Linked DNA regions of Elephas maximus indicus. The protein of the gene in region 4 interacts with the protein of the main gene of each other region in a pairwise test. Links are inferred from orthologs where the notes say so. Each region holds a gene or a part of one and is shown on either strand. Other genes may lie near its edges.

What was found.
Region 1: the proteins of LNX2 (region 4) and TUBB interact in a two-hybrid assay, tested with the Homo sapiens proteins (3 studies listed by BioGRID and IntAct). The link is inferred for Elephas maximus indicus from reciprocal best matches to the Homo sapiens genes LNX2 and TUBB.
Region 2: the proteins of LNX2 (region 4) and LRRC8E interact in a two-hybrid assay, tested with the Homo sapiens proteins (3 studies listed by BioGRID and IntAct). The link is inferred for Elephas maximus indicus from reciprocal best matches to the Homo sapiens genes LNX2 and LRRC8E.
Region 3: the proteins of LNX2 (region 4) and MAP2K5 interact in binary tests that used the Homo sapiens proteins (3 or more experiments, as listed by UniProt). The link is inferred for Elephas maximus indicus from reciprocal best matches to the Homo sapiens genes LNX2 and MAP2K5.

What each region holds. Positions count from the first base shown.
Region 1 is NC_064819.1:91,029,395-91,036,778, reverse strand, and holds the start of TUBB (tubulin beta chain), read right to left. Parts: upstream 3,003-7,384; 5' UTR 2,822-3,002; coding exon 2,765-2,821; intron 1,352-2,764; coding exon 1,243-1,351; intron 958-1,242; coding exon 847-957; intron 560-846; coding exon 1-559. UniProt on the Homo sapiens protein: Tubulin is the major constituent of microtubules, a cylinder consisting of laterally associated linear protofilaments composed of alpha- and beta-tubulin heterodimers.
Region 2 is NC_064821.1:12,623,452-12,630,967, reverse strand, and holds the start of LRRC8E (volume-regulated anion channel subunit LRRC8E), read right to left. Parts: upstream 3,011-7,516; 5' UTR 2,929-3,010; intron 209-2,928; exon of another isoform or gene 174-208; intron 1-173. UniProt on the Homo sapiens protein: Non-essential component of the volume-regulated anion channel (VRAC, also named VSOAC channel), an anion channel required to maintain a constant cell volume in response to extracellular or intracellular osmotic changes.
Region 3 is NC_064831.1:57,634,127-57,641,767, reverse strand, and holds the start of MAP2K5 (dual specificity mitogen-activated protein kinase kinase 5), read right to left. Parts: upstream 3,006-7,641; 5' UTR 2,342-3,005; coding exon 2,207-2,341; intron 1-2,206. UniProt on the Homo sapiens protein: Acts as a scaffold for the formation of a ternary MAP3K2/MAP3K3-MAP3K5-MAPK7 signaling complex.
Region 4 is NC_064841.1:59,714,640-59,722,023, forward strand, and holds the start of LNX2 (ligand of Numb protein X 2), read right to left. Parts: upstream 3,019-7,384; 5' UTR 2,939-3,018; intron 2,414-2,938; exon of another isoform or gene 2,338-2,413; intron 1,863-2,337; exon of another isoform or gene 1,641-1,862; intron 1-1,640. Other genes in the region: POLR1D (DNA-directed RNA polymerases I and III subunit RPAC2), read left to right, coding at 3,306-3,331, 4,328-4,691; protein POLR1D-like, read left to right, coding at 3,306-3,331.

The DNA.
Region 1 (7,384 bases), on a different chromosome or scaffold from region 4:
TGGCTGCCACGGCTGGTTAGTGGGGCAAAGCCAGGCATGAAGAAGTGGAGACGTGGGAAAGGCACCATGTTGACTGCCAGCTTGCGGAGGTCAGCATTGAGCTGGCCAGGGAAGCGGAGGCAGGTGGTGACACCGCTCATGGTGGCTGAGACAAGATGGTTCAGGTCTCCATAGGTTGGCGTGGTCAGCTTGAGAGTGCGGAAGCAGATATCGTAAAGGGCCTCATTATCAATGCAATAGGTCTCGTCAGTGTTCTCTACCAACTGGTGGACAGAGAGGGTGGCATTGTAGGGCTCAACCACAGTGTCGGATACTTTGGGTGAGGGCACCACACTGAAGGTATTCATGATGCGGTCAGGATACTCTTCACGGATCTTACTGATGAGCAAGGTGCCCATCCCAGAGCCTGTGCCTCCGCCAAGTGAGTGGGTCAGTTGGAAGCCCTGCAGGCAGTCACAACTCTCAGCCTCCTTCCGCACCACATCCAAGACAGAGTCGACCAGCTCGGCCCCCTCTGTATAGTGGCCTTTGGCCCAGTTGTTGCCTGCCCCAGACTGACCTGGAATGGGGTCAAGGAATCAAGCTTGATTAGGAAGGTGTGAAGGTACATGAGCACACTTCTACCTTTCAACTTTTGGAATAACCCCCTTGGAGATATCTTTACTCCACCCTCGCCTGTGATATATCCTCCTCTAGAACCTACCAGCTAAGACAATTGTTACCTACACTTTCTATCAGAGCCTTCTGTAAGTTCTCCAGTAAAACCATCATCTTCTAACTCTCGTTTATCCCCTTATACTCAAACTAAATAAGACTACATCTACTGATCTCTTCTGTATAACTTACCAAAAACAAAGTTGTCTGGTCTGAAGATCTGACCAAAAGGACCTGAGCGAACAGAGTCCATGGTCCCAGGTTCTAAATCCACCAAGATAGCACGAGGAACATATTTGCCACCTACAGGAAAAAGAGTAAGAGCGACTGACTGGAAGGGAAAACTAATGCATTGGGTTGAGGGAGCCTGGGACCCAGACTTGTGATTCCAGGCGCTGCAAGCAGGTGGCAGCAGAGCTGGGCTTTGGCCCCAGAAGTTGGAAGAAACCAAATTGAGGAACATTTCCAAAGGGAAAGGATGATGGACTCATGCAAAAGGAACAAGGTATTCCCCAGAGATTGAAAGAAACCCCCCCCGAGAAGTGGGCGAGGAGATGGGACCCGATCCTCGCGGGCACACGCCCTCACCTGTGGCTTCATTGTAGTACACGGAGATCCGGTCCAGCTGTAGGTCGCTGTCCCCATGGTAGGTGCCGGTGGGGTCGATGCCATGTTCATCGCTGATCACCTCCCAAAACTGCCGAAGGAGAGCAATGAGCCCCTGGCTGGCTCGGGTTCCAGCCAACTATGCATCCCCTTCCATTTTATTCCAGGCGCACCATGTAGGCTCTGTTTCAAAGCCTGGCACCCCTTCTCTCCGCCTGCCACGCCCTTTCCCTAAACACCCGCATCCTCAGGAACCTCAATTTATATACTTTACTCAACTCCACTCCTTGGGACTTGAGACGATATGCTGCTGAGAGAGCCTGGCGTTCATGGGCACTGAGGCGAGTGGGTGGGGAGGCAGAGCTGACCGGATAAGCTCCCCTCCCGCCCCCCCGGGCACCGCCCCTCCATGCACAAAGGACCGGGGACCAAGAAGCGCGCCGCTGCCGCAGTCGCTCCCCCTGCTCCACGTGACTGCGGCGCGCGCACGCGCGCGTGGAGCTGACAAAGGGCGGTGTCGCGCGTGGGAGGGGCGGAGCCGAGGGCGCGAATTCCGCGCGGGGGGCGGGGCCGGGCTCGAGCGCCCCCGCCGGCGGGCAGAGCCGCATTGTCCCCGCGCGCCAGGGCCCCGCCCCCGCCGGGCCCCGCCCTGCTGCTACAACGTAGCAAGCGCACTTCCTCCCCGTCCCCTCCCCCGCTACACTGTAACCCGCGCAAAAAAAAAAAAGTAAAATCCCCCTCCCCCCCGGCTTTGGAATTTTATTCCTTCGATAGTTTTTTTTCCTTCCTGCCTTAAAGGATTCTTTTTCTTTTCCTCCAACTATCCCGAGAGGACCTTTTAGCGAGCCTATTCCCCCTTTTCTCGCGCCTTCTGTCTCCTATCTGTTCACGCCCTAAAAGGGTCTCATAAAGAGGAAATAAAAGGAAGTAAAATTGACCCTATACATTTTATCGTTCCATCCACGCAAAACTACGGAGCCGCCCCTCGGGGACCGCGGGCGCGCCGAGGTCCCTGATCTTTCGTGCAGGACGGGCAGCAGCCCACTCTGGCGCACCGCGCCCCCCACCTTTGGCTTGCCCTCTGCAGCTGCCCGCCCAGCCTCGCCCCTTCCCCCTCCAGTCTCGTCCTAACCCGAGTCACGGGGGGGTTGGGCGGGAGGCACATGGGGCCGACCTCGCCTCGCTTTGTCTCGAGCCCTTTGCTAGTCTCTTCCCTCCCCCGTCCTCGGACCGTTATAAGATCCCTCCTAAGTAAAATCTTACAGATCCTCCGTCTTCCCGCCCCCCAAACCGTCAACAGCTTACCCAAAATGAGAAAACTTACCAAATTCCCCATTTTCCAAAAGGCAATTCTAGCTACAAATGTGTCTGCGTATATACACACACTTTTTATTTTTGCAAAGCTCGATTACGGATGGAGAGCGCGAATATCCACAACCATCCTTCATAACTGATCTGAATTTTTCTTCTTGAAAGAAATATTAAGAGGTTTTAGAATCCTTACCTTGGCACCGATCTGGTTGCCACACTGACCAGCCTGGATGTGCACGATTTCCCTCATGATGAAAATTTATTTTAGTTTTTTTTTTTTTTTCTGCTCGCCTCGGTTGTGTGCGGGGCAAGAGAACGATATATAATTTTTGGCTCTGCAGATCGCAGGCTGCGGGGATGGAACGTGCCCCGGAGTCTGGAGCAGCGAGGTCCGAACGCGGCGGCAGGAAGGTTCTGAGAGGGAGAAAGAAGGAAGGGGGAGGGTGAGGGAGGGAAGGCGGCAGGGCGGGGCGCGCGTGCGCGGGGGCTGGGGGGCGGGAGATTGGGTCCCGCGCCGCGGTCGGGAGACAAAGCCTCATCAAGTCTGTCCCTGATTAGTCGATGCCTGTCATGTACCAGACACCCATTGGTCTTCGCGAGAGTGGGACGCGCGCGGTCCTCTCTGGGAGTTGTAGTCCTCTATTGTTGTCCACGCTGCAAAATGAGGTGACGAAAGGGTGGGTACTGGTTTTTTTTGGTGTTTTGTTTTTTAATGAAAAACTATGACCTTGCACAAGATCCCTTTCCTCTGTTCCTCTTTTTTTGTGTGTACAGAGGGGAGTAGTTTTGGGAGATGCAAGAATTGGGAAGTCTGGGGTGCCAGGCATTGGGAGGTGGGCTGGGCACGCCCTGAAAAGCTCCCCGCTGCCGTAGCTCTTAGGAAGATTGGGCTGCTTACCTCAGCGAAAACGGGGGAGAAGTGCGGCACCCTGCTTTGCTACTATCTTCTGGTCCTTTGATGACCTAGGCTTGAACTCCAGTAAGCCACGGTTCCTCTACATACCTCTGGAAACAGGAGGGGATTGCCCTCTTGCTATTTATTTGGGAGTTTCCGAATGATATTTCAAAAGAGAAACAAAATTGCAGCAAGGACTTTTCAGAATAGAGATGTAGTTGTCTGGAGTGTGTGTTCAAAGAATAAGTTCATTGATTAGGGAAGCTGATATCTGGGACCTGTGAAGTCAGAAGTCTTGGTCCATGTAGAGGATCTGGGCCCTGAAGCACTGTTGAAGACACCTTGGTCTTTTTGTTTAACAGGGAACTGTGGGGTTAGGTGCCTAATGCAGTTCACATTGATCTAGAGTCCCAAAATTGAAAAATAAAAAGGGAGGTAGGTGAATAGCGGTGTGAGAAAATTGGGTGGGTCAGAGTGGCATGCTCCTTCTGGAGATTCATTCATTTGATGGATACTAAGTGTCCACCAAACCAAGGAACTAGGGATACAAAAATGATTAGGAACTGGCTCCCTGACCCCAAGGACCTTGCAGTTAGATGAAACAAATAAACAAGTAATAACAATAGCGTGGTAAGCAGCATAATATAAGAGATGATAGCAAGGTCATCATTGTTAATTCACGTTCAATTTAACACACATTTCTCAGACGCTTTCTAAATAAAGGAGCATCAAGTTGTGTAAGACCCTTTCATGTCCATCTACTCACTTGAGGTGGAATTTTTTTTTTTTAAAGGATATTCTATGTTTTAGGGCATGATCACAATGAAAACAAGTTTGTGGCAGTAGAGAGAGCTCAGAACATGGAATTAAGAGAACTTGTTTCAATTTGACTCCGTCTAACATTTTTTTTTTTTACATTAGCTGTAGGAACTTACGCAAGACATTTAACTACAGAGCTTTAGTTCCCTCGTCTGTAAAATTGACTTCTGCCTATTTGATTGTTGTAGTCAAAATTAACTGAGGTAACAAATGAGAGAGGACTGCCTAAATAATAATAAAAAATAATAATAATACATAGGTCAAATTGTTACTGTTCTTTTCATGTCTTAGTTTGAGGTAATGAAATAAAATGATTTTATTATCTTCCCCCCACCCTTTGAAAGCTGCGGACAGACCTCGGTCATCCTTTAAAATACATTTAACATATACATAACAGTCCTCTCTGTTTGCCTAGGGAGATTTAGGAAAATGACCTCAAAATGTCCGTCAGGAATGTATTCCCAGGAAAAGACAGCACTTCTATAAAACAAGCCAAATAAAAAGGAAATGAAATTCCATTGTTATGAGGAGTCCTCAAGCGCCACGCCTTCGAACGGTTCTCCAAACTGCAGCCTGCAGCCACGACTGCAACCCGCGACCCATTTCTCATGAGTCAGCAGACACCATGCCTAGGAGGACGGAGGAACGGCGCTCTGGCCGCAACAGACTCATCGGGCGACGTCTATGGTACAGCCCCTCTATCCGCCGCCAGAAGATGGTGTCGCACTCTGTGGTCGCGGTTTGGAAATCTGCGCGGGAAGTGGGAGGTGGGAGGTGAAACGGTAGTAGGTTGTCCCTTCGAGCTACCCAATCGAGGTGCTCTATTCTGCGGGCGCACGGAAGCCTCCCATTACAGTCTCAACAGATCTCAGCCTCCTTGCAGCCTTTTTGAACTGCGGGGGTGGGGCGGGGGAGGGCTGAGCCTCCGCGCGGAGACTTTACCAATCAGCGTGCAGCAGAGCTGTAAAGGACAGCAACAAGAGCCAACCAGCGGACCTGTCCTCTTCCTGCACACGCACTCCCGCCTCCCGGGTCGCGGCCGTTACTGGTGGCGCGCGCGGGGACTCAAAGTAGGTGAGTTCTGGGGGCCTCCCCCACGGCTTCCCGGGGTGCCATTTTCTCCTTTCCCCGGAGGTCGGGAGGGGCGTGCCTTGGGAGCGACTGGGCGGAGACCATTCGGCATTTGCTTCGGGGATTACAGTGTTCATCCGTTCCTGACGTCCAGCTCAGACTTCTAGGTATGAAGACGCAGGGAGACGTTGGATCATAACGGAACCTACTTGGGCTGTGGATCGAAGATGTTGGTGTACTGGAGTCAAGACTCGTAGGCCAGGCCGGTCATGAGGATGGAGTTGACACTATCCAGGGGTCGTCTTACTTTCCCTACCTGACCAGTTTCCCTCTAGGGTGGCATCCTTCTAAGTGAATCCCACTCATGCTATTTTGAGTTGCTTCTTCTTTCATTTGTTCTTTTACCAGTAGGCTCAGTGATGTAACCTCCATGAAGACAGGGCTCATTTTATGTTTGGTTCACGGATATGTCCCACATACCTTGACGGCAAACTTTGCTCCATAACTACTGTTGAATATGATGGACTTTAGGGGAAAAGACAGTTCTGCTGGTCCAGCCCTGGAGGGGGCGTGTGAAGGCAGAAATGGAAAGTAATGGTTACACTATAATGAGAAGTGTTTGGATAGGCTGCGGAACATACAGGAGGAACACTGGAAAGCTGTGACATTGGAACTGAATCTTGAGGGATGATTAGGAGTTGGAGCAGGAAACTCAGAGTGAAAGGCCAGAGGCAAGCTGGGCTAAGGCATGCAGGTGTGCAGGACAAGGAGGACTGTGTTTTCAGAGATTAATTAGAAGGCCCATGTGACTGAATTATAGGCTCGTGAAATTGGGGGAGCGAGGCATTGCAGGACATGAAGTTCAGATCGTGGAGGGTCTTGCTAAGGAGTTAGATTTTATTTTATCCTGTGAACATGGGAAGCCAGCAAAGGGTACTAAATAGGAGAGACATCAGGGTGATCTTGGGCAAGTTCTTTTGTGTCACAGTTTCTTTATGTGAAAAAATGGGAGATAACAATAATACCTACCTTACAGGGCTCTTCTGTTAAATGAGTCAGCTAGTGTAATTAGAATAGTAACTGGCATAAAGCAAGCATCTTTACATGATGGTTGGTTTTATGATTCTTTGCAGTTCAGTGTGATCACATTGAGGTGATAGGATAAAGTGTAAAAAGCATGGGCGTTACAGCCAGAATTACATATATTCCTATCCTTTCTACTTACTGCTGTGTTATATTGAGCAACTTTTAAAAATATTTTTAGCATTACTTTCATAAATGCGTACCTCATATGGCTATGATGCCTGACACATAACACAATGCCCAACACATAGTTGATGTTTGGCAAAGGTTAATTCCCTTTGAAATTCTCTTTTTCAAACTATAGGTTGTGACCCAATAATGGATAGTGAAATCAACTTAGTAGGTTGCAAGTCAACGTTTAAGAGATATATGTGGTATAGAAAAAATAGATGAAAGATAATCAGCGTATTGTGCATACTAAGGTTAAGTATTGTTTCTCAAAACTTTTGTTTATGTAAGGAAGTACATATGTTCACATGTATCTGTGTTGTTAGGTGCCGTTGAGTCAGTTCCAACTCATAGCGACCCTGTGTACAACAGAACAAAACACTACCCTGGTCCTGCGCCACGCTCACAATCGTTGTTATGTTTGTGTACTAGAGGCTGTATATTTCTCTCTCTGTCATCAAAGATATTTGAAAAACGCTTCAGGAGGATAATAACAACGATTGACGGAAAGAAAATCATCAACCTCCGTAACTATCCAGTTTCACCCCCAGTTATCAGTCTCCTCTCTAATACTGTGTGTATGAGCTAATGATGGGGATGATGATAATGTGTTCCCTTCCAGATTATGGAGGATACCCAGGTTATCGACTGGGAGGCTGAAGAAGAGGAGGAAACAGAGAGATCCAGTGAATCTGTGGGGAGCAACTTGGAACCCCTAGGGCGACTGCATATCTTCAGCAGTGCCCATGGACCAGAAAAAGGTCAGAGGGTATTGGG
Region 2 (7,516 bases), on a different chromosome or scaffold from region 4:
CGTTTGACTCACTGGCCCTCTCAGAGCCCAGAGGGGCTGCAGGACCACTGCCTCCCAGCTTCCCAGTGGGGCCCTCTCCTGGAACCCAGGCATCCCCCTCTTGGCCCCGAGGTCTCCCTCAGGTGCCCCCTGACTTAAGAATCCCTGTCCCGGCTGCCAGCCCCGGCTCTCACCTGCCCGGGACCTGGGAGCGTCCTGAGGCCCGGGACTTCCGGGGTGTGGGCTGGGACCAGTCTAGGACGGCCCACCTTCAGGGGCACTGGGCTGTGGGCACCACCTCCAACCTCCAACCGGAAAAGCCGGCTGGATTCAGGCTCTGGTTACGGGGGCCCCAAGGGCAGGGAGTGGCCACACTGAGTGCTGGTCAGCCTTAGGGGTGGGGGGACAGGGCACGAGGGTTTCTAGAGTGGCCGGAGCCCAGAATCTGTGGTAGAAAACAGAGACCTGGGCACTCGGAGGGCAGGAGCAGGGGGCGGAGGATCTGAAAATGGAAGAAAGCCAGGCCCTGGGGAGCCAGGCCCCTGGGCAGCCTGGCCCACTCTGTCTATCCTACAGGGGTGAGAGCCACAAGCTGGGACAGCACCCTCAGCACCAGCTGGAGACCCTTCCTTGGGCTGGTTCTCTCAGGCCTCCCACCCATCTTCCAGGAAGGTGCCCCCTGTCCCCCACCTTGGCCAGTTCCCCCATGTTCCCTGAAGGCCTTGGGATGGCTCCTGGGTAGGGAATGGAGGTGGGAGAGGGGCCTTTAATCCACCCCTGCAGGGGCTCCCACGTGAGTACAGGGATTGGCATGCAAGGGGGCGGGCACATGCCTGGCTACACATGGACACCATGTGCACCTGCCCGGTTTCACAGGTACCTGACTCAAAACTCATGTGGAGTCAGACACATGCAAGCAGGTGCACAGAAACCAGGGTCCCCCACACAGCAGCACCCTGCAGGCGCACCCCACACGCTCAGGTACACACCCTGTCCCAGGCAAAGACAGGAGTGCACCGCAGACAGCCTGTCACCAGGTAATGGATGGAAACACGGATGGACACAAACACGCAGAGGTTGACTAATGGCAGCCACAAAGAGGGACACCCGGGGGCATTTGGAGTTTGCATATGCATGTGTGTGGGTACAAAGCTTCAAGACACACTCACTGAGCGGAGGGGAGACCCAGAGACATGGAGACACACAACCATTCTCAGCTAGGGAGGCTGTGGCCAGGACAGATCTCACAGTGCTGCTAGCTCTCCCTCCTGCAGCCTCAGGCCAGCAAATGCAGACACAAAAGCAGAAATACACAGGGTCCCAAGCCAGCTGAAGGAAGTGTAGACATACACAGAGTCAGGGGCTGACACAGGGGTTATCATTATCTGTCTCCTGGCTCAGGCTTAATCATTGTGACCCTAACATTAAGTCTCCGCAGACACATGGCCACCCCCCACCTGGTCTGAACAGGGCTGGTGGGAGGGCCTGAGGGCCCAGAAGGAGGGGCTGGCTGGGCAAGGAACCCAGAGAAGAACAGTGGGGACAGCCACTCAACTTAAGACCAAAAAGCCAAACCCACTGCCATCGAGTTGATTCCGACCCTTAGCAACCCTATAGGACAGAGCAGAACTGCCCCATAGGGTTTCCAATGGTGGATTCGAACTGCCAGTCTTTTGATTAGCTGCTGTAGCTCTTAACCACTACACTGCCAGGGTTTCTGACACTTAAGACCACCAAAACCAAAAACCAAACCTGTTGCCATCGAGTCAATTTCGACTCATGGAGACCCCATGTGTCAAAGAGTAGAACTGCTCCATAGGGTTTTCTTGGCTGTAATCTTTATGGAAGCACATAACCAGGCCTTTCTTCCGTGGGGCTGCTGCATGAGTTTGAACCTCCAGCCTTTAGTAGCCAATCGTAATCCACTTGCACCCTGCTGCTTTAAACACCTCCTCTTATCCCAGTGTTGTGAGGCGTGGGGGGTAAGGATCCTCACTTTCCAGACTCAGGGGAGAGAAATAACTCGCCCAGGGTGGTCAAGGCCTGTTCTGTCCCAGCCTGCGTGCTTGCTGTCTGTCTTCACCCTGTTCAATCTCGGGAGAGAAACTCCCTGAGATGGGGCATCTTTGAAAAGGGAGCTTCAGAGTGTTGGTCCGGCAGAGAAGGCACGAGGGTGGCCACCTATGCCCAGATGTGTGCCCCCCAGCACGCTGGAGGCCTGCTTTTCCTCTCTCGAGCCCTCCTCATGCCCCAGCTTGTCCCCAAAGAGATGGTGAGCGACTTCCTGCTAGTAGTTGCGTCAAGGGCTCCTGACGCAGTGCCCCCGGCCCCGTTTCCACCAGCACCCCCTCCCCACCCACCCCAGCCTTTAGGGGCCAGGAAGAAACTGCTGACTACTGTCAGCACTGAGAGGGCCCAGAAAGCACAAGGGGAAACTGAGGGCCCCGTTGGTGGCAGATCTGGGGAAAGGCCCCAGGCCTGGGAGCCCTCAGCCTAATACTTTGTCAAGCTGTCCCTGCCAGAACTTGGTGGGGGGCCTGGGTAGTGGGGGGATCTTGAGGTTCAGAAGGCAGACTGGTGAGGACCCTCGTGGAAGGGGTCTCGGGGCTTGGAGGGGCTAATAGAAATGAGTTGTTACTGTTTTCCCTGTGATCAAGGAGAACGGGGACGTGGTCCAGACCTCCAAGGCCGACCCCAGCCTGTCAATCTCCACTCTGTCACTTGGTCGGGCCTGCTGGTCCCTGGGCTGGCACCCCACGGGCCCGCCAAGGCCGAGCCTCTGTCCCCCACCCCACCCCCAGCTCCTCATGTGTCCAGTAGGGCCCGCCCTGGCCACAATTTCAGCTGCCAGTCGCACCTGGGGCAGTTCCGGCCCTCGGCCAGATCCCGGCTCCCAGCCCGACCACCATCCGCCACCCCATTCCCAGAGGCAGAGAGCTACCCACTCACCGCTCTGGGACGGACGCTGGGCCTGACTCCTGGGTCCCTGGGAGCGGCGAGGCTGGGACTCCCGCAGAGTTCCCGGGCAGGGAGGGTGAGTCAGGGCAGGCGGGGCGGGACAGGAGCCTGGGGGCCGCCCCGCCCCGCCCCGCCTCTGGCCCGCCTTCCTCAAGTCGCTCCCAGGTTGACCCCCACTCCTGGCGCCTTGTGGTCAGGGGAGAAGGGGAGGGAGGAACAAGAGCTGAGTTCTCACCTTCAGGTCCTGCCGTAGGTGGGCAGGGGCTGAGCGGGGGGAGCAGGGGCCTCAGAACTCTGGGCTGGCAGCAGTCAGGCTGGACCCTGGGGTGGGGGAAGTAGGGGTGGAGGCACTGGGCTCCCCTAGGCAACCTGTGACCCTGTCAGGAACAAGGTGTGGCCACCTGGCCTCAGCACAGGGCCCAACCTAGGAACTGAGAACAAGCTCCTAGCTGGAGACCCTCCTTTCCAGGGGCTGGGGACAGGGCAGTGGGAGGCTCCCCTTTCTGCCCCAGCCTGGTGGGACAGGGCCCAGCCCACCCTGGGGAAGCAGGCGGAGTGGGGGTGTTCACTGTTCTGTCCATGCTTAGCCTGTCCTGGAAGGAGGGGGCGCTGAGTGGCTCCCAGGTCCTGGGGACACAGAGACAGCAGGACTCTGGGAGCTGGGGGTGGCTCTGCTTCCCACCTCCACCTCTTCGTCCCCACCTAGAGGCCTGGGCTGGGTCTTAACCATTTGCCATGGAGTTGACTCCAACTCATGGCGACCCCATGTATGTCAGAGTACAACTGTGCTCCATAGGGTTTTCAAGGGCTGAGTTTTCAGAAGTAGATCACCAGCCCTTCCGAGGTGCTTCTGGGTGGACTTGAAACTCCAACCTTTTGGCCAGGGATTCCCACTGAGTAGTCGTAGAAGTATAAACCTCTACTTCAGGCTGGAGGCATCTGTGGTTGAACTTTGATCTATTCTCAGTCTGGAAAAAAGAAAAGGAGACCAAGACTAGGGTGAGGAGAGTAAGGCCCCCTACCTCATGGCAGAAAAAAGCCAGAGCTTTCACCAAATGGGAGAGAGCCTGAGACCTGAAACTGTGAGGACTGGGACTGCCTAAGCTTCTTTTGGAGCCCTGGTGGGATGGCGAAGTGGTTAAAAGCTTGGCTGCTAACCAAAAAAGGTCTACAGTTTGCATCCATCAGCTGCTCCTTGGAAGCCCTATGGGGCTGTTCTTCTCTGTCCTGTACAGTCACTATGAGTCAGAATCCACTTGAACACAACAGGTTTTTTTGTTTGTTTATTTCTTTTGATGCTTCTGTTGGAGCCCTGGTGGCGTAGTGGTTAAGAACTCTGCTGCTAACCAAAAGGTCGGCAGTTCAAATCCACTAGCTGCTCCTTGGAAACCCTGTGGGGCAGTTCTACCCTGGGATCACCATGAGTCATAATCAACTCCACAGGCAATGGGTTTGGCTTTTTGGTTTTAAGCTTTGTTCCTCTGTTGCCTCAGGCAACAGAAACCCTGGGTTGGAAGAGGCTCTTTGGACTCAACCCACCACTCCTCCCCCCCTCCTCCCACTGCAGCCCAAAGACAAACCCTGCAGAAACTGGGCCAGTTTTTCATGGTCTATTCAACAGCTCTTTATGTGTGCCATCGTACGCAGGTAAAAGTTGGACAATGAAAAAGGAAGACACAAGAATTGACACATTCGAACTGTGGCGTTGGTGAAGAATATTGTGTAGACTGTGGACTGCCAGAGGAACGAACGGATCAATCTTAGAAGAAATACAAGCAGGGTGTTCCTTAGCAGCAAGGACGTTGAAACTTCAACTTACTCACTGAGCACGTTAGTAAATTCATCAGAAAGACTAATTGCTAGAAAAGAACATCATGGTTGGTGAAGCAGAGGGTCAGCACAAATGAGGGAAACCTTCCATGAGATGGATTGACACAAAAGCCACAAGAGTAGACTGAAACGTATCAAAGATGATGAAGATGGTGCAGGGCCAGGCAGCGTTTTGCTCTGTTATATATAAGACTGCATGAGTCAGAACCGACTCCATGGCAAATACCAACCGTGTGCCAGGCCCAGAAGCTTCCACGGTGAACGAGATAGGCCAGGCCTCCCTCCTCTCACGGAGCTACTGTCCTAGAAGGTTGGAAGAGAGACAGACACTAGGCAGGCAAACATATGAAGGAACAGGAGAGCATCAGTCTGTGATAAGTGCTATGAAGGTAACAGAAAGAGTGAAGTGGTAACAAGAGACAAGGGATTCTGGAGACCTTTTGGAGGAAGGAACGTTTGGGACAGGTTGTTTCCCTGTCCTTCTGCCTCTTCCTCTTTCCAGAAAGGCTTCTCTCCTTGGGACCCATGCCTTGGGTACTTGTTTCCAAGTATATGCTGAAATCGGGCAGATCCGCTGCAAAAGACCTCTTTAAACTGTTAAAAAAGCAAAGACGTCACCTTGAAGACTAAGGTGCATCTGACCCAAGCCATGGTGTTTTCAGTCACCTCATATGCATGTGAAAACTGGACGATGAATAAGCTAGACCAAAGAAGAATTGATGCCTTTGAATTATGGCATTGGCAATGAATATTGAATACACTATGGACTGCCAAAAGAATGAACAAATCTGTCTTGGAAGAAATACAGCCAGGATGCTCCTTAGAAGCAAGAATGGCGAGCCTATGTCTCACATACTGTGGACACGTTATCAGGAGGGATCAGTCCCTGGAGAAGGACATCATGCTTGTAAAGTAGAGGGTCAGTGAAAAAGTGGAAGACCCTCAATGAGATGGATTGATGCAGTGGGTACAACAATGGGCTCAAGCATAACAATGATTGAGAGAATGGTGCAGGACCAGGCAGTGTTTCATTTGTTGTACATAGGGTTGCTATGAGTCGGAACTGACTTGACAGCACCTAACAACAACAAAATATGCTGAAATGAGCGTCTTCATATACTTCGCTTTGTGTACTTGTTCAAGAGCCTCTGAGCTCACTAGAACATAAGCCCCACCGAAACCAAAACACCAAACCAGTTGCCGTGAAGGCAATTCTGACCCATGTGTACAAGGGAGAATTACTCCCTAGGGTTTTCTTGGCTGTAATCTTCATGGAAGATCACCTGTTTCTTCCATGGTGCCACTGGGTGGGTTTGAACTGCCAACCTTTTGGTTACCAGTCGAGCGCAGACCATTTAGGCCACTGAGGGACCTTGCTCCACAGGGTTTTCAATGTCTGTGACCTTTCGGCAGTAGATTGCCAAGCCTTTCTTGCCAGATGCCTCTGCGTGGTTTCAGACTGTTACTTTTAGATCAGTAATTGAATGCTTAATTGATTGTGCTGCCTGGGGATTCCAGACATATGTCTCTTTTGCTCCCTGTTGTACCCTCAGCGCTTGAGATGATGCCTGGCACACAGCAGACGCTAAATAAATGACAGATGAGTTAATGACTGAGATGTTGTCTTGGTTTAGGGCAGTGGTGGCTCAGCGGTAGAAGTTTCACCTTCCATGCAGGGGACCTGAGTTCGATCCCAGCCAATGGACCTCATGCACAGCCCACTCCCATCTGTCAGTGGAGGCTTGTGTGTCATTAGGATGATAAACAGGCTTCAGTGGAGCTTCCAGACTAAGACAGATTAGGAAGAAAGGTCTGGTGACCTTCTGAAAATCAGCCCATGAAAACCTTGTGGATCACAAAGGTCTGATCTGCAATCAACCATGGCAATGGGGCAGGACCAGGCAGCCTTTTGTTCCATTGTGCATTGGGTGGCCATGAGTCAGGACCAACTGGACTCAGCTAACAACAACAGATGCAGACCCTGAGACAAGGAATTGGATGCAAATAGTCCATCCGGAAGGTGATTCTAGGAAGTGCCAGTAGGGCAATGAGGAAGTAAGACAGGAAAGCAAAGCAAGCCGGAGGTGGAGCCAATACGGCACTATAGACAGAAGCACCATGCCGTCCCTTTGAAGCAAAGACTCAAAAAACTAGGTAAAACAGTTACAAACATTGATCATGGAACCCTAAGTACCAAAGGAAGGAATAGAAAACTCAGTCAAGAACCAAATGGAATAAGAAACTGACAGAGAACAGAGAACAAGGAGAGCTATGGAGTGGAAGTCCCATACCAGCTACTGTGGCCAGATTTGCCATCTTGGACTACAGCCACAAAAAAACTCAGACAGGGAGCATGGGAAGGCAACTTCACAGAGCTCCCAACAGGAGACAGAGCACCCAGTAACCAGCACAAAATCATGGAAAATACAGACAAAATCATGAAAAAGACAGAGAAAACAGTGGAAGAAATCAGGAAACTAGTACAGAAACAAAATGTCAAAACAAATAAACATCTAGAAATCATACAAAAACAGCCGTAAGAAATCCAAAAGATAAACAACAAGATTACAAAAATAGTGCAATAGAAGGTTTTAGGAGCAAATTTGAAGCAATGGAAGACAGCATCAGCTAAATTGAAGACAAGTCCTTTGATACCACTTTGAGGTAAAAACAGAGAAAACAAAGAAAAGTGAAGAAACCCTGAGAACACTGTGGGATACAATCAAAAGCAAAAATCTGCGTGTGAGCA
Region 3 (7,641 bases), on a different chromosome or scaffold from region 4:
CACTGTCCTATTCTACTTATACCTTCTGTTGTCTGAAATGAGTAAAGTGAGAGAAAGCTCATGTCTTTCTCATCACAGATGCAATCTCATTTAATCTTCACAAGTCTTTGAGGCAGGTATCATCCTCCATTTTACAAATAAGGAAATGGAGGCACAGAAGAAATACAGTGACTTGCCTAGTTAGTGGGACAGCTTGCAATCAAACCCCAATGTCTTGATTCAAAACCCAGTGCTCTTTCCACAGCACTGTAAGTGTACCATAACTTTTTAGCTCCCTCATTAAACAAGTGTTTCAGAGTCCTATGAAGCACCAGAAACAGAGCAGAAACAGACATGCCCATCTCCTCCAGAAGTTCACCACCTAATGGAGGAGACAGACAAATAACCATGACACAACATGTCTCGCTTTGCTGGCATACACACACAAAACTCTGGGAACACAGAGGAGGGCCACATAACCAAGACTAAGGAAGAATAGCGCAGCTTGGCTTTGAAGGATACGTGGGAGTTGAACAGCTGAAGAAAAGGGCAAAGTGAGGACAACCTGGGCCCCGGGAGAGCATGGAAAGTGATTCCACACACCTGGAGTACAGGATGCTCGGGGTGTGTCGTAGGAGTTGAAGCTGGTGCCAGGTAGGCAAAAGCCAATCAAGACTTGCCCAGAGGACCATGCTAGGTAGTTTGGGCCTCATCAAGAAGGGAAATCTACGTGCATGTGAGTGTGTGGAGAACTCTGAGAGCAAAGAGAAGGATACCATTTGGTGCACAATACTGAGGTTGCTATGTCACTCTTGTCTCAGCACTCCTGGCCCAGGCACCTGAAAACCTGCACGGCTGGGTGTTTGTAACATCCAGAACTCAAAATGAAATTACAGCAATCAAAGTTTCGTCGAGTCACTCATGACAATCAAAAATTGCATCACATACCTGCCACTCAGCCCCATCTTACCTAGCGGGTAAGTTCTACCACAGATCTGCGATTTGCTATGTCAGTTCTGCCTTTGATGCCTCAGTTATTCAATACGTAAGATGGGCACAAGGCATCCTACCTCAAATGAATGTTAGAAAGATAAGAAGTGGCACAGCAGCCTGTGGGAAAAAAAAAATAGTAAGGAAATCCGAGTTCTAGTACTGACTCTCCCCATCAGGAGCTACACGGCTTTGGAAGGCAGGAGCCCTGGTGGCACAGTGGTTAAGAGCTCAGCTGCTAACTAAAAGGTTAGCAGTTGGAGTCCATTAGCTGCTCCTTAGAAACCCTATGGGGCTGTTCTACCCTGTCCTATTAGGGTCGCTATGAGTCAGGATCGACTTGACGGCAATGGGTTAGGGTTTCTTTTTTTTTTTTCTTTTGGTTGGCTCCTCAGCAGCTATCTGTAAAAAGGTACATGGGTGAACTTTTTCCTGCCTTTTGTAACCTGGCCTAACTCCAAGATTATACTCTGCTTTAACATCCCATGATTTTATTTGAAATTCATTTCAAGTATCTTGATTCTAAGATACACATTTTCCCGTATTTTAACATCTCTGAAATTGGGCTTTATTTTGTCTTTACGATGGATGGTGTGTCATGGTTTATAGGGCAGCATTAGTTTTTCTTAGTGATACATCCCACAATGGCATGTCCTACAATCAACGATGTCTTAGGTTTGCTGAAACATGGGAAGTTCAAGCTGCCCTTGTTTCAGTTTCCCTTTCCTCACTGGTCACCAGGTTCAGAGGAGCCTTGGGGGCGCAGCGGTTAAAGTGTTCAGCTGCTAACTGAAAGGGTGGCTGTTCAAACCCACCAGCTGCTCCTCAGGAGAAAATTCAGAAAACTCAGTAGAAAAACATGGCTAGAATTCGGCCAGACATTGCCCCAAATCCTTGGGAAAAGGTCTGTCTTCTAGACTCAGCTTTTTGTATCCCAGTTGGTTGCTTCTATGTGTGTGATTCCAGTCTGTGAGCTCCCTGAGGGCAGGGGTGTGGTCTCATTCTCCTCTATTTCCCCAGGGTCCTGCACAATTGCCAGATCTGGGTTGATGAAATTAATCAATGCTTGTGGTTAAAGCAATAAAACTGCCCCATCCAGGGGAAAAAGCCCAAAAACCCACTGCCGTCGAGTCGATTCTGACTCATAGCGATCCAGGGGAAGATTCAGCAATTAAGGTGCTGACCACTCCTCAGGTCCCTGAGCACCCCACCACCTCGCTGAGACTCGGACACTCACCAGCACATCCCTGAAGAGTAACTGCGGCCCGGAGTGCACTGTCCAGTCCACCGCGCCACTGTTTGGAATCTTGATGCGAATGACCAGCACCTGGTTCTCCATGGCATGGAAGGGGCCAAAGGCCAGCCACAGCATTACAGACCAGAGGAGCTCACATCCTGGGGTACGGGGTACCCACTGGCCTCCGGTTTAGGCGGGGGCTCAAAGAGGAGCCAAGGGGGGTGAGGAGAAGAGAGCAGAGGGTGAAAAGTGAGGTCTGGAGGGTGAGGGGTGAATGAGAGAGGAGGGTGGTCAGGAAGGGCCCGCAGGCACGGAACCAGGCTCCGTGAGGGGCTGGGGTGTCTCCCTGTGAGGGTGGACAGGGGAGGGGGCAGGGGACAGTAGGAACGAGCGGAAGTCTGAAGGTTCTGGAGTTGGAGAGGGAGGCAAGACGGGTTGCTGAAAGCTCTCTGCCGTCTGTGTGGGTGTGAGGAGTCGGCCGAGCGAGGACCCCGTTTGGGGGAGATACAGCGGCAGGTGTCCGCCCCTCCTCAGGGGACGAGGGGAGGCTCCCCGACTGGAGCGGACTGAGTCTGGGGCTGTTAGGAGGGAGCCGCCGGCCGAGGGCTCAGGAGGCCAGTCCTCTGCCCCACCCCCGGCCAGGGGACGCGGCGCGCGCGGGCTCAGGCCCGGCCGCCCGAGGCCGAGCGTCCGGCTGCGACAGCGGCGACGGCGGAGACGGCGGCGGCGGAGGCGGGAGGAGTAGGAAGGCGACCGCGAGCACACTGTTACTCCGGAACCAAAACGCGCGGCGCCGGAACCCAGGGAGCCGAGAGCCGGCCCGCCTCCCGCGGCGCCATGTTGGAAAAGGGCAGCTCCAGACCGGAGCCGCCCCCGCGCCGCGGGCGGGAAGCCACCAGGGGTGAGCGACCGGCCCCAGGAAACCCGCCTTGACTGAGGGTAGGGATGGGTCCTGCCCCCTCACGAGACCCTCGTTGCCAAGCGGCCGCCCACGGCGGCGGAGTAACGACCGCTTCTTTCCCGACCCTGAATAAAATCAGCGAGGTGAAAAATCTAACAAACGAAGGGGGAAACTAAGGCTGGAGTCCGCGAGAAGCAAACTTAGAGCTCGAAATTGTGTCCTGTTTGCCTGTACAGAGCCTGAGAAAGACGGGACTGCAGCTCCCATCTGTTCCCTACTTTGTCAAGCCGAGCACCTAAATATGTGTGGGGGATTGTGTATCAGATCACTAAGAGCAAAGCAAGAACTCAAAAAAAAAAAAAAAAGTTTTTTTTCCAAGGCACAAATCCAGAGAACCATCTTTTTCCCACATTAGCAAAGCCTTATGGATTTTTGTTAGTGAGGTTCTTTTCCCCCAATATTGCCCTGAAACAGCAGACAGCCCCCTTTTCAGAAGCAACGGTAAAGAAATTCAGGGAAGAGTGAAGAAATTCAGTGAAGCCCTCTGTAGTAGTAGCATCATTTTCTTTTATAAAAACGTTGCGAAAATATCTAGTCCACAAATTTTCAACTAGATCGCAGTGCTTATGTAGTCGCTGATGTCACAGCGGAGCAATGACGCTTGGTTATTTTTAAAGACCTTGTTACCTCACATTTTAAAGTGCGTCCTTCTGTTGGTCTGTGGTGCCCTTACGTTTGCTTAGGAATTGCAACATGTAGATTTGCGCTTTAACTCTTTCTAATGAAAGTGGACAAGTTGGCTTTTGGGGGTGGTATTTTGTATAAACTTAGTGGGGGAGGGGTGTCGAGTTCTCCTTCAACGGTCAGATAGTTGATTAAATGAGAGAAAAATAATTAAGATGTTGGTCAAGTTCAGTGTGATACCCAGAAGTTTTTCTGCATACTTTTCTCTGCCTGAGCTGCTTTTATATTTAATTTGAAAGGCCACTGTAGGAGAAAAATGATCTCTTCAGTTCTTGTAATTTAATAGCTTAGGTAGAAATTCATTTAGTTAGATCCTCCAGATACCGTAGGATTTGCCTCTTTCCGCCTGTACTTCAATCCTGTGAAAAATAAAACTTTTGCCCAAGGTCCCCATGTACTTTTTATTGAAGGTTAATTTTCTATTCTTTGAGAAATTAGACCACAAAACTAAAGGTTTTCTATGAACCTATGATTTGTTAAAATGTCTTTTTTATTCATAGTACCGTCGGGAAAACCAACTCAATTTGCAAAATTTGCATACATATTCTGAAGCTTTTCTTAGACTAATGGCAGGCTCATAGCACTTTCCCAATGTTTGCAGAGCCAGATATAATCACACTTCAGTTCTTCATAGCTTTTTTATAGCAAGAAATCTTGATGGTTTTAGCAAAAATATTCCAGAACTAGAACTGTCACTGCAAGAAGCGTCATACTCACAGATAATACAAGACCATTCCATTAGGATCTTAAATGATAAAATATCACTTTCGAGTCTTACGAAATAAACAAGATTTGTTATCTGAATTTGGAGCCTTACTGGTTCAGTGGTGAAGTGTTTGACTGCTAATCAAAAGGTTGACACTTTGAATCCACCAGCTGCTCCTTGGAAACCCTATGGGGCAGTTCTACTCTGTCCTATAGGATTGCTGTAAGTTGGAATCAACTCGATGGCAACAGGTTTTTTTCTTAACCGAATTTAAAGTATCTTTAATATTCAACATCAAAGTTCTGTGTAATCTTAAAACTTTTATATGCAATACATACAGTTTTGAAATTTTTTATCTTTTTTAAATAAGGGGTATAAGTCAGGAAAGTCACTCAAGGACTGGCTGATGTAGTTTGGTAGCCATAAGTCAGATTTACTGTACTAAAAAAACCTGTGCTGTCTTGTACTTTTCCTACTTGAGGGACTTCTCAGTAAGTGTAATAGAAAATCCTTCCTCTTGTGAAGTTATATCCTGGTGAAGAAGACAAACATATGAGTAAAGTATTTGTTAAAAAAAAACCAAACCTGTTGCCATCGAGTCGATTCTGACTCATAGCAATCCTATAGGACATAGTAGAACTGCCCCATAGAGTTTCTAATGAGCAACTGATGGATTTGAACTGCCAACCCTTTGGCTAGCAGCCAAGCTCTTAACCACTGCACCATGAGGGCTTCAAGTGCTAGTAGGAAAATGAACCCAGGACGGGAAGATGAAAATAATATAGCACAACAGTATAATAACACTAAGGAATATGAAAACTGGCTCGTATTGACTTCTGTTAACCAGTAAGCTTAACTGAAGAGAGACCCATTTCTGAAAAGTTAGGTGTAGAGTGATTTTTTAAGGAGGAAAATTTTATTTTATAAATTCAGAGAAAGTTTCTCTCATCTCCTCTTATGAATTTGCTCTCAGTCTGAGTTTTAACCCTGAATCTGACCCATTCCCACTACCTTCAATGCCACTACTCCAGTCCAAACTACCAGTATATTTCTCTCTTAACCTATTTCTAGGAAACCTTGGTGGTGTAGTGGTTAAAAGCTATGGCTGCTAACCAAAGGGTCTGCAGTTCGAATCCACCAGGTGCTCCTTGGAAACCCTATGGGGCGGTTCTACTCTGTCCTATAGGGTTGCTATAAGTCGGAATCGACTCAACGGCAACGGGTTTGGTTTTGGTTTGGTCAATCTGTTTCTACTCTTGTCCCTACTAGCAACAGTCCATTCTCAACCCAGTTGTCAGAGGAGAGCAGGTCACTCATTTGCTCAAAACTCACCAGATGGCTTCCTGTCTTGTGCAGGGGAAAACCCAAAGTTCTTTACTAGAAAAACTCTACTCATTCTACCCAGCCACCACCCACAGCCCCTGAACTCTCTAGCCACATCCACTACTCTCCTTCATTCACACTAGCCTCCTTCTCACAGATCATGCATTCCATCTCAGGGCCTTTGCAGTTACTGCATCTGCCTGGATCGCTCTCAACCAAGATACCCCCTTGGCTCCCTGCCTCACATTCAGCAGATCTTGATTCAAATGTCACCTTCTTGCAGAGGCCTTTCTTTAGCACACTATCTAAAGCTGCAGACCAGCCCAGCTTCGCCTCACCCATAGATACAAGCACATTACGTGTGTGCAATTCCTAATTCCCTTCCTTAGTTTATTTTTCTTCTAGCACTTACCAGTACTACATTTTTTGTTAATTTGTTTATTATTATTTGTTTTATTCACTCCCGTATCCCCAGTACCTACAATAGTTGCTGTGCATAGTGGGTACTTTAGTATTTGTTGAATGAGTGAATAAATTTAAAGGCAAAGTAGACTGAGTGATAGGAATGCAACTCCCACATGCATTTACTGCCTCTCCTGAGCCTCACTGGCTCATTTCCGTTTCCTTGAGTTTGGTAATAATGAGAGGGGCTCCACAGAGAGACACTATCACCAAGATTGAGATAATGACAATTACAGATTTCCCTTAAACAGCAGATTTTAAGACAAATACGAATTGCCTCATATGTTCAAGAATTAAGGATCCCGTGTATCTCCTTCAGCACCTAGTGTGGGCATTTGCATAACAATACTTAAATATCTGTTGATTGGTTTTGATTTAAAAAAAATATGAAGATCATGAACAAGACAAGAATGTTCACTTTTACCACTGCTATTCAACATTGTCCTGGAAATTATAGCCAGAACAATTAGACAAGAAAAAGAAAGAAAAGGATTCCAAATTGGAAAGGAAGAAGGAAAACTCTCTATTTGTAGACAACATGATACTATACATAGAAAATCCCAAATAATCCACACACAAAAAAAACTGCTAGAGTACTACACTAATTCAGCAATTGCAGGGTACAAGATTAACACACAAAAATAAGTTGTATTTCTATACACCAGCAATAAACAAGTCAAAAAGAAAATTCAGAAAGTGATTCCATTTACAATAGTGTCTAAAGGAATAAGATACCTAGGAGTAAATTCAACCAAGGAGGTGAAAGACTTGGACACTGAAAACTATAAAATATTACTGAAAGAAATTTAAAAAGACCTAAATAAATGAATTTCCATAGATTGGAAGACTTACTATTGTTAAGATGTCAGTACTAACCAAAATGATATACAGATTTAACACAACCATTCTCAAAATTTCAACAGCCATCTTTGCAGAAATTGAAAAACTATTCCTCAGATTCATATGGAATTGCATCAGGTCCCATGTATCCAGCCAAACCTGTTGACATTGAGTTAATTCCGACTCATAGTGAATCTGTAGGACATAGTAGAACTGCCCATAGAGTTTTCAAGGTTGTAATCTTTACAGAAGCCGACGGCCACATCTTTCTCCTGCGGAGCAGCTGCTTAGTTCAAACCACTGACTTTCAGCTAGCAGCCAAGTGCTTAACTGCTTAACCACTGTGCAACCAGGGCTCTTTCCATATAACCAAAACAATCTTGATCAAGAACAAAATTGGAAACTCACATGTCCTGATTTCAAAACTTACTACAAAGCTACGGTAATCAAAATAATGTG
Region 4 (7,384 bases):
TGGCATATATGTTAGTTCCTCTGCCTAGAATATAGTTGGCAAAATCCTAACCCAACCAGACAGAATTTGCTCCCTCTTCTGAGTTTCTGCACCACTATGTTCAAATTACCTTCAGATAACTAATAGAACACTGGTCTGTATCAGCTTCCAAATGAGACTGTGAGCAACTCCAGGGCAAGGCTGCCCCTGGCCATCAACACGTGGCATGCAGTAGTATGCCATCCTTTGATAACTGAAGAAAGAATGAAAAATTTCTAACTTGATGAGAAAAGGAGAGGAATGAGATACAAAATTAGGAATGTGAGCACATCAGTGGGCTGAATTACAAATGGGTTATTCTACTTTGGTTCAGATTTGGCCTACATTTGACCCCTCTGGGAAAATGCACATTTGTGACTTGGACCAACTAAAAAGGCAAAACGTTGTTACTCATGGCTCAACAAAGCTCTGACAAACCAAAGAAGATACCAGATTCCCCTCTTCCTTCTTTACTTGCCAAAGTACATTTTCCAAAGTGGGGGAGGAATGAGGGTTGGAATCAAATCTACCAAAATAAATAAAATTGATCTACTGAGATCCAGCTCCATCAGCACTTAGTCACAGCACATGCAAGAGACAAATGAAAATCTATCCTGGGACGAAGGCCAATTTACATTAAGTACTATTGATGCAAGAATACGGAATTCTTAAAGTGAAGGCAGTGCCAATAATACATAGTTCCCAACTGTTTTCCCCTGCAGAACTGCCACTGCACTTGATCTCACCTCGTCTCTGATCTCTGTGATTTCAAAAGAATAACCTACACAGTGAAGCCCCATACAGGAACTGACTTTAGCTTCTGGAAGATGTGAACATCAGGATGTACAACCTTTAATACAAACTGAAACACCATAAGAAACCCTACATAGAGGTCAAAAGTCCTTGGCTTAAAACGTGGAAAAAAGCTTCGAAAAATGAGTGGTGTATTTCCTAAACCGTGCTTTGCACGCAGCTGCTTCCAAATCAAGATCTGTACTTTGAAATTCCCACCTCGAAGATGGCAAATCGTTCTCCCACCCCCTGCAGCCTAAACCGAAAGGTAAGAAGAGAACAGGCAACAGGCTGGGACAGGGGTATGCGCTCTCCCTGTCTCTCCCTTTCCAGGGGAACCAGATCGGATGCGAAGGCAGCTCGTACCACTCTCATCCTCCCCTATAGCACAGGTACGGGAAATAAAAAGCTCACCCCCACCTCTCCCCTCCCTAAAAAAAGCAAACGACGCCGAGATCAGTAACGCAGCGGCCGAAACCACCCAAGGGGACCAGCCCGGGGCCGCCCGCCGCTCCAGCCGGCACCGCCGCAGGGCATTCGGACTTCCGTCCCGGACAAGCGCGGCCGGCCCCCACGCCGGGTCCGCTCGAGGGGCCGGCAAGTGCGGCCCAGGTCCCCTCCGCTACCGGGCGAGCGAGGGAGCAGACCCGCGGAGGGCGCGGCTCCACCAGGCAGCCAGAGCGCCGCCGGCGAGGGGCGCGCCGGGAGGGGAGGCTGGGCGCCGTTCCCGGTGCGGCGGCTCCCGCAGCTCCCTGCACGCGAGCCTCCCGCCCGCGCCAAGCGCGCTGGCACCTGAGAGAGCGGACGCGGCGGCGGGCAAAGTTACTTACTGGGAAGCACGGCTGTCCGGCGCGCTCAGCTCCCGGCGCCTCAGCCCCGCGCTGGCTCCCGCTCTCCGCAGCCCGCGGAAGGAGCGGGAAGCGAGCCCGGCGCCGCTTCGCCGGGAATCGCCGCCGTGGCCGCTGCCTCCAGCCGCCGCCGCGGATTTCCTGGCAAGAACCAAACTCTGGCCAAGACTTCACTTCTCAACCGCCCCTGCTGTCTTCCCGGGGGCGAGCGCCGGGGCCGAATCGCCCAACCTGACACGCACCGGGGCCAATCCACGGCCGCCCAGGGCGGGGAAGGGGCGGGCCAGACGGCGGCTCCACCTATCCGAGTGCGCCGGGGGCGGGTCAGGAAGGGGCCGTCACTCACGGGTTAGAGTGAGCCCGCTCGCCGCCGTCCCTCCCCCACCGCGTCAGGGTTGTCCCCGCCGCCTGCCTGATTTCCCTGCTAAAGACGCGGTCGGGAAGTGTCTCAGCACGAGTCCCCGATGCCCGAGTGCCGCAAGGAGAATGGGACAGCTGGGGGAGAGATGGAAATATAGGGAAATCTGGAGGGAGGCAAGAACAGGTGGTGCAGGAAAAAGAAATGTAGGTGTGCTGGGAGAGGACAGCTGGGGTGTGGACAGGGCCTGACGGGGGGCAAGGGAGGTGCTGGGAGCGGAAGAGTGGGAAGGGAGAACCGGTTATTGACGAACAAGAGCACCTGAGCGGACGAAGAGACGCGAAACGAAGGAAGAAAGCGGGCGGAGAGCTCCGATTCCGGGTGGTGAAAGGTTGCAGAGGCGGGGGCAGGGCACCTGGGAACAAAGGTGAGAGGGAGGTTCCGCAGGTGAGGTTGTTTAAGGAGCCAAAAGGATAAGGGAGGAAAGAAGCCCAAAGCGGGGATGGACGTATTCTAGGGGTAGAAAGGGGGAAAACCAGTTTTCTTGCAAACTCTCACTCCCCCAAGATAAAGGCAAACGCGTGTCCTTTGGCCTAATCGAGACGTTGTGCAACTGCAAGATCTCCGACGAGACAAATACTGTCTGAAACCATTTTGTTTGAAATTCTTCTCTTTCCACATTACCTCCTTCCTTTCTTAAAAAGTGTATTGATAAACTTAATGCGATCTACAGAGACCTCAGTACCCGCTGAGTGCTCCTAGGGTCGTCCCATGAAAGCCCCTTGAGGGTTGGGGTGCCGGGAGGGGCCAGCCTGGGAGCAACACTATCCTCATGGGTCTAACAGCAAGACAGAAAGAGGCCTGACTCTTAAGAAAGGTGATTAGGGGGCGGCAGGTGAGGCCCCGCCCCCTTGGCCCTCACCTGGGGGAAGGTGCCCAGGGCTGAGCTCCGGCATACACCGGCCTGTATCCGGCCTCACTGTAAGGCCTTCGCCGGACCCCACCTCTCCGCCCCTCCCGCTCTGCGGACAGGCTGCCGGGGGAGCACCAGGTGAGCAGGGCGGGCCTCGCGCCTTCGCCCCCCTCGCGCCGGGGGCGGGGCCGGGGCGGAGCCTCTAAGCTCCGCCCAGCGGCCGGGCCCTGCCGCGCCGAAGCGGCTCCTCCTCTCTCCTTCCGTCTCCCCTCCTTCCGTCGGTCTTTCCTTCCTGCTTCGCCTGCACGTTGCGCGGTATGGGGCAGAGCCTCCGGTCCGCCAGCACCGCCTGAGGAGCCCGGAACCTGCCGCCGCGATGGAGGACGACCAGGAGCTGGAGAGGTAACGGCCCAAGAGGCGGGCGAGCGGGCAGGAGGAGCGGGCTGCGCTCGGGCCGGAGAGCCGGTGGCAGGAGGCGCGCGGCCAGGCCGGGGCCTCGGCCTCCGCGCCCGGCCTGGCAGGATGGGCCTGACCCGGGGCTCCGAGAAGAGAGGAAAGGGGGATAGACGTGGACGCCTGGGTGGAGAGGGGGCCCGCCATGGGGAAGAGAGAGAGGGTGAGAGACATGGATGGCTTGAATGGACACGCTCCGTAGACTGGTAGCTATCAAGGAGGGGAGACAAGTTATGAGACCAGAGCAAAGCCCCCGAGCTGCTCCTCCCGCCTTAGAACAGCAGGAATAAATAAAACTAACGGGTGACATTCCGCACCAGGCCACTGTTCCCGAGTGGATGGTATTGGGGTGTTCGCACAGACCCAAGCAAGTCCTGTGTTTACTGCTCCCGAGCTTCTCTGTGCAGACTGTTAGTAAAGCCACTTCTCTATGTGCTGAGTTCTTTTTCTCCCTCCTGCTTGACTATTCTCAGACCTTCCATTCCTCTAGTTTCCTTACCTCTTGCAAATGGAAGCCATAGCTGGGCCTGCATGTCGATAATCTGTGGACTTAAATCTGACATTTACACTTAAGCAGTATTTTTTTTCCTATCACTTTCGGTGCCCTCTTCATCCTCCAGCAGGGCCCACCCTATTCTAATCTTATCTCTTTCTTGTGACTCTACCAAAATAATATTTTAGCAAACATTTATGCTTGTGCCTTAAGAAGGCTCTCCTTGTGTCCCTATGGAGGGTCAAATGGAGTAGGGAGAAACTGGAGGCAGTAATTTAAATATTGGTTAAATGAATTTGCCGAGGCAGGAAAATAAGAGACAAATAAATAGTTCTGTGTGGTTGGAGTGGATTAGAGTAAAAATGTGTTGTAATTGTGATTGGTAAATGAAAAAAAGCTAGTCATGAAAACTATTCAGTATGATCTCATTTTTATAAAAAATGTGTGTGTAGAAAAACACAAGGATCGAAGACCTCAGTGGCTGAAGGCGAGAGGAAGACTGCCCTGGAAATGGTCCAGGCAGCTGGAACAGATAGACACTGTGTGACATTTGTATTGCACGAAGAGGACCATACCCTAGGAAATTCTCTTCGTTACATGATCATGAAGAACCCAGAAGTGGAATTTTGTGGTTACACTACGACCCATCCTTCAGAGAGCAAAATCAATTTACGCATTCAGACACGAGGTGGTCTTCCAGCCGTTGAGCTGTTTCAGAGAGGCCTGAATGAGCTCATGAGTGTCTGCCAACATGTGCTTGACAAGTTTGAGGCAAGCATAAAGGACTATAAGGACCAAAAAGGCAATCAGAAATGAGTCTACATTCTAGCCCCTTATGCACCATATGACAAGGATACTCTAGGATATTTTCTTCACGATCATGCACAACCCAGAAGTAGAATTGTGTGATTAAAGCATGATCTAGCCTTCAGAAAGGTGTGCTTCTAGCTATTGACCCATTGCAGCTGTTGGATTCCCTGCAAGTATTTTTGTATTCTTTTGAATAAATTCCCTCTTATTTAAACTGGTTTGAGTGGTTTCTGTTATTTGTAGCCAAATGATACCCAAGGATGAATTTTCTTTTTCTTTTAGCTGAGCCAGTACTGATAGTGAGGAAACTATAAGGAAACCAGGCCTTAGACAAGGACTTTGATCATAGGACTTAAAAGGAGTACACATTCATGGCTGTGATTTGGAGGAGGAAGGGCAGTAGAACATAGCCCCAGATAGACTGGTTGATTGAAAAAAAGGAAAGGAAAGGAAAATTTGGTTTCTTGATAGATATATATATATAGATATGTATGTGTGTATATATATATATTTAGAGAATTGCAGCCTTTGCAGTATTGGGCAAGGTTGGGGGATAATTTGAAAGAATTTTATGAGTTTTGCTTTCCCATGAGAGTTTTAGGTGGTGTCAGGCTCCATCTTTGTGGGAGCTCTTATAGAATAGATGCCAGTTTCTTGCTTGAATTTCAGGATACTGATAAAATATTTAGTCAGAAATGCCCTAAGTATAAAAGTGATAGGAGAATTTGGAAATGAATAATGGTGGTGGTTGAACAACAGGATAAACATAAATAATGTCACTGAATTGTACACTGAAGAATGTTGAAAAGGCAAATGTGTTGTTACATATATATTTACCATAAAAAAAAGAAAATGACCTAAGTTGGCCAAAAGGTTTTTATTATATCAAACTAAACTCATTACTGTTTAGTCACCTCCAACTCATAGTGACCCTATAGGACAGAGTAGAAGTACCCCAGAGTTTCCGAGGAGCATCTGGTGGATTCAAACTGCCAACCTTTTGATTAGCAGCTGAACTCAATCACTATGCCACCAGGGTTTCCAAGGAAGAGAAAACTGAAATGTCTAGGTAACCTTTTCAGTTCTTAGATAGGTCTCTAAGAATAACTCAGGTTTACGTAGAAAAAGCATCGTTCAAGAGAAAGTAAGAAGGAAAATTCTGTCTAGGGAAAATAACTTTTCCAGAAAACTTGAAATATTAGTGAATCCCATCCAAAATCTGTCCTGTCTACCTCTTCAGTTTGTCTCTTGTGCCTGTCCCACCCCCGCCCAGCTCGACTCTTCATTGACCCTAAATACATGTCAACCCTTGGACCCAAGCACTCTAGCCTCCATCCCCCCCTCCCCCGCCGCAGTGCTCTTTGGGGCCTTTATGTTGTTCCGCTTCCTGGAACACTTAGTCCCTCCGTACTCTAGGTCAAAACTTACACATCAGACTCCCCATCCTAGTTTGGGTGCTTAAGTGCTTTCATTACACCCTATGTTTCCTTGTCTTAATGTTTATTGTGCTACTGTTAGTGCTTTTATTTGTCTGTCTTCCTGGTATACTAACTCGTGATCACATTGCCTGGCGTAATGCCTAACCGAGAAAAAAACGATAGTGGACATTTAATAAATACTGGATGAACCTATGTATGTAATTATGGCACGTAGCCTTTCATTCACTCAAATCTACTAACTTGAGTGAACTTGTGGGAGCCAATACTTTGAAAGATGAGAGTGATGTTAATGAAATCAAGAGGACAGAAAAATGTCAATTGGAGTTAATGTTCTGGAGGTTTTTGGGCAATGGGCAACATTAGTGCCTAAGAAGGGTAAACAAACATTAGCATTCATTGAACAAAAGAATGGCTTAGTTTGGGTTTCCCAATAAAGAAAACACACAAAGGACACTGGAGAGGTAAGTTTAGATGGGAGCAGGAATGAGAAAGATTAAAGACATGGAGCAAGGATAGGGAATATTCTTTGGGTGACAGTCATGGATTCTGGAAAACCAATGTCAGTTTATGGGAATTAGCACTCAAAGATGCCCTAAAGGGATAGGTGGAAGAGGTTCAAAACCTTCTCTGCCTCTTACAAAATTTTGCCTATGAGTAGCCCTATGGGAATAGTAAACAGAGTTTAGTACCTCTGAACCAAGGCCTGTTGGAAGATGTAAACAAAACAAAAACCTGTTGCCGTCAAGTCAATTCTGACTCATAACAACCCCATAGGGAAGAGTAGAATTGCCCCATAGGGTTTCCAAGGAGCAGCTGGTAGATTCGAACTGCCAGCCTTTGATTAGCAGCCTGACTGGTTAACCACTGCACCATGGTTCAATAAGTCAACCTAGAGGCGTAGAATGATACAGGCTGAGTCATTCTTACCAGTACCCGTGGGAAAGACACCCACTGGTGACCACTGATGCATCACGTGACTTCATTGCTTCAACTGGGATTTAGTGTCACTGATAATGTGGAGTGCTGTCTTGAATCTGTAGGTGGCCAGTGGAAGAAAATGAGCACCTTCAGAAGGCAGAAGGGGGAAAACTGAGGGCAGGCAAGATAACCAAAAGGCACATCTGGAAGGAGGAAGGAATCTTACTTCCATAAAATCTGTAGAAACCTGAGGGAAGACTGAATTGGTCAAAAAAAGGGTGAGGGAGATGGACATGAATTGTATGTAAGACAACATATGATATATAACATATATGTTGTCAT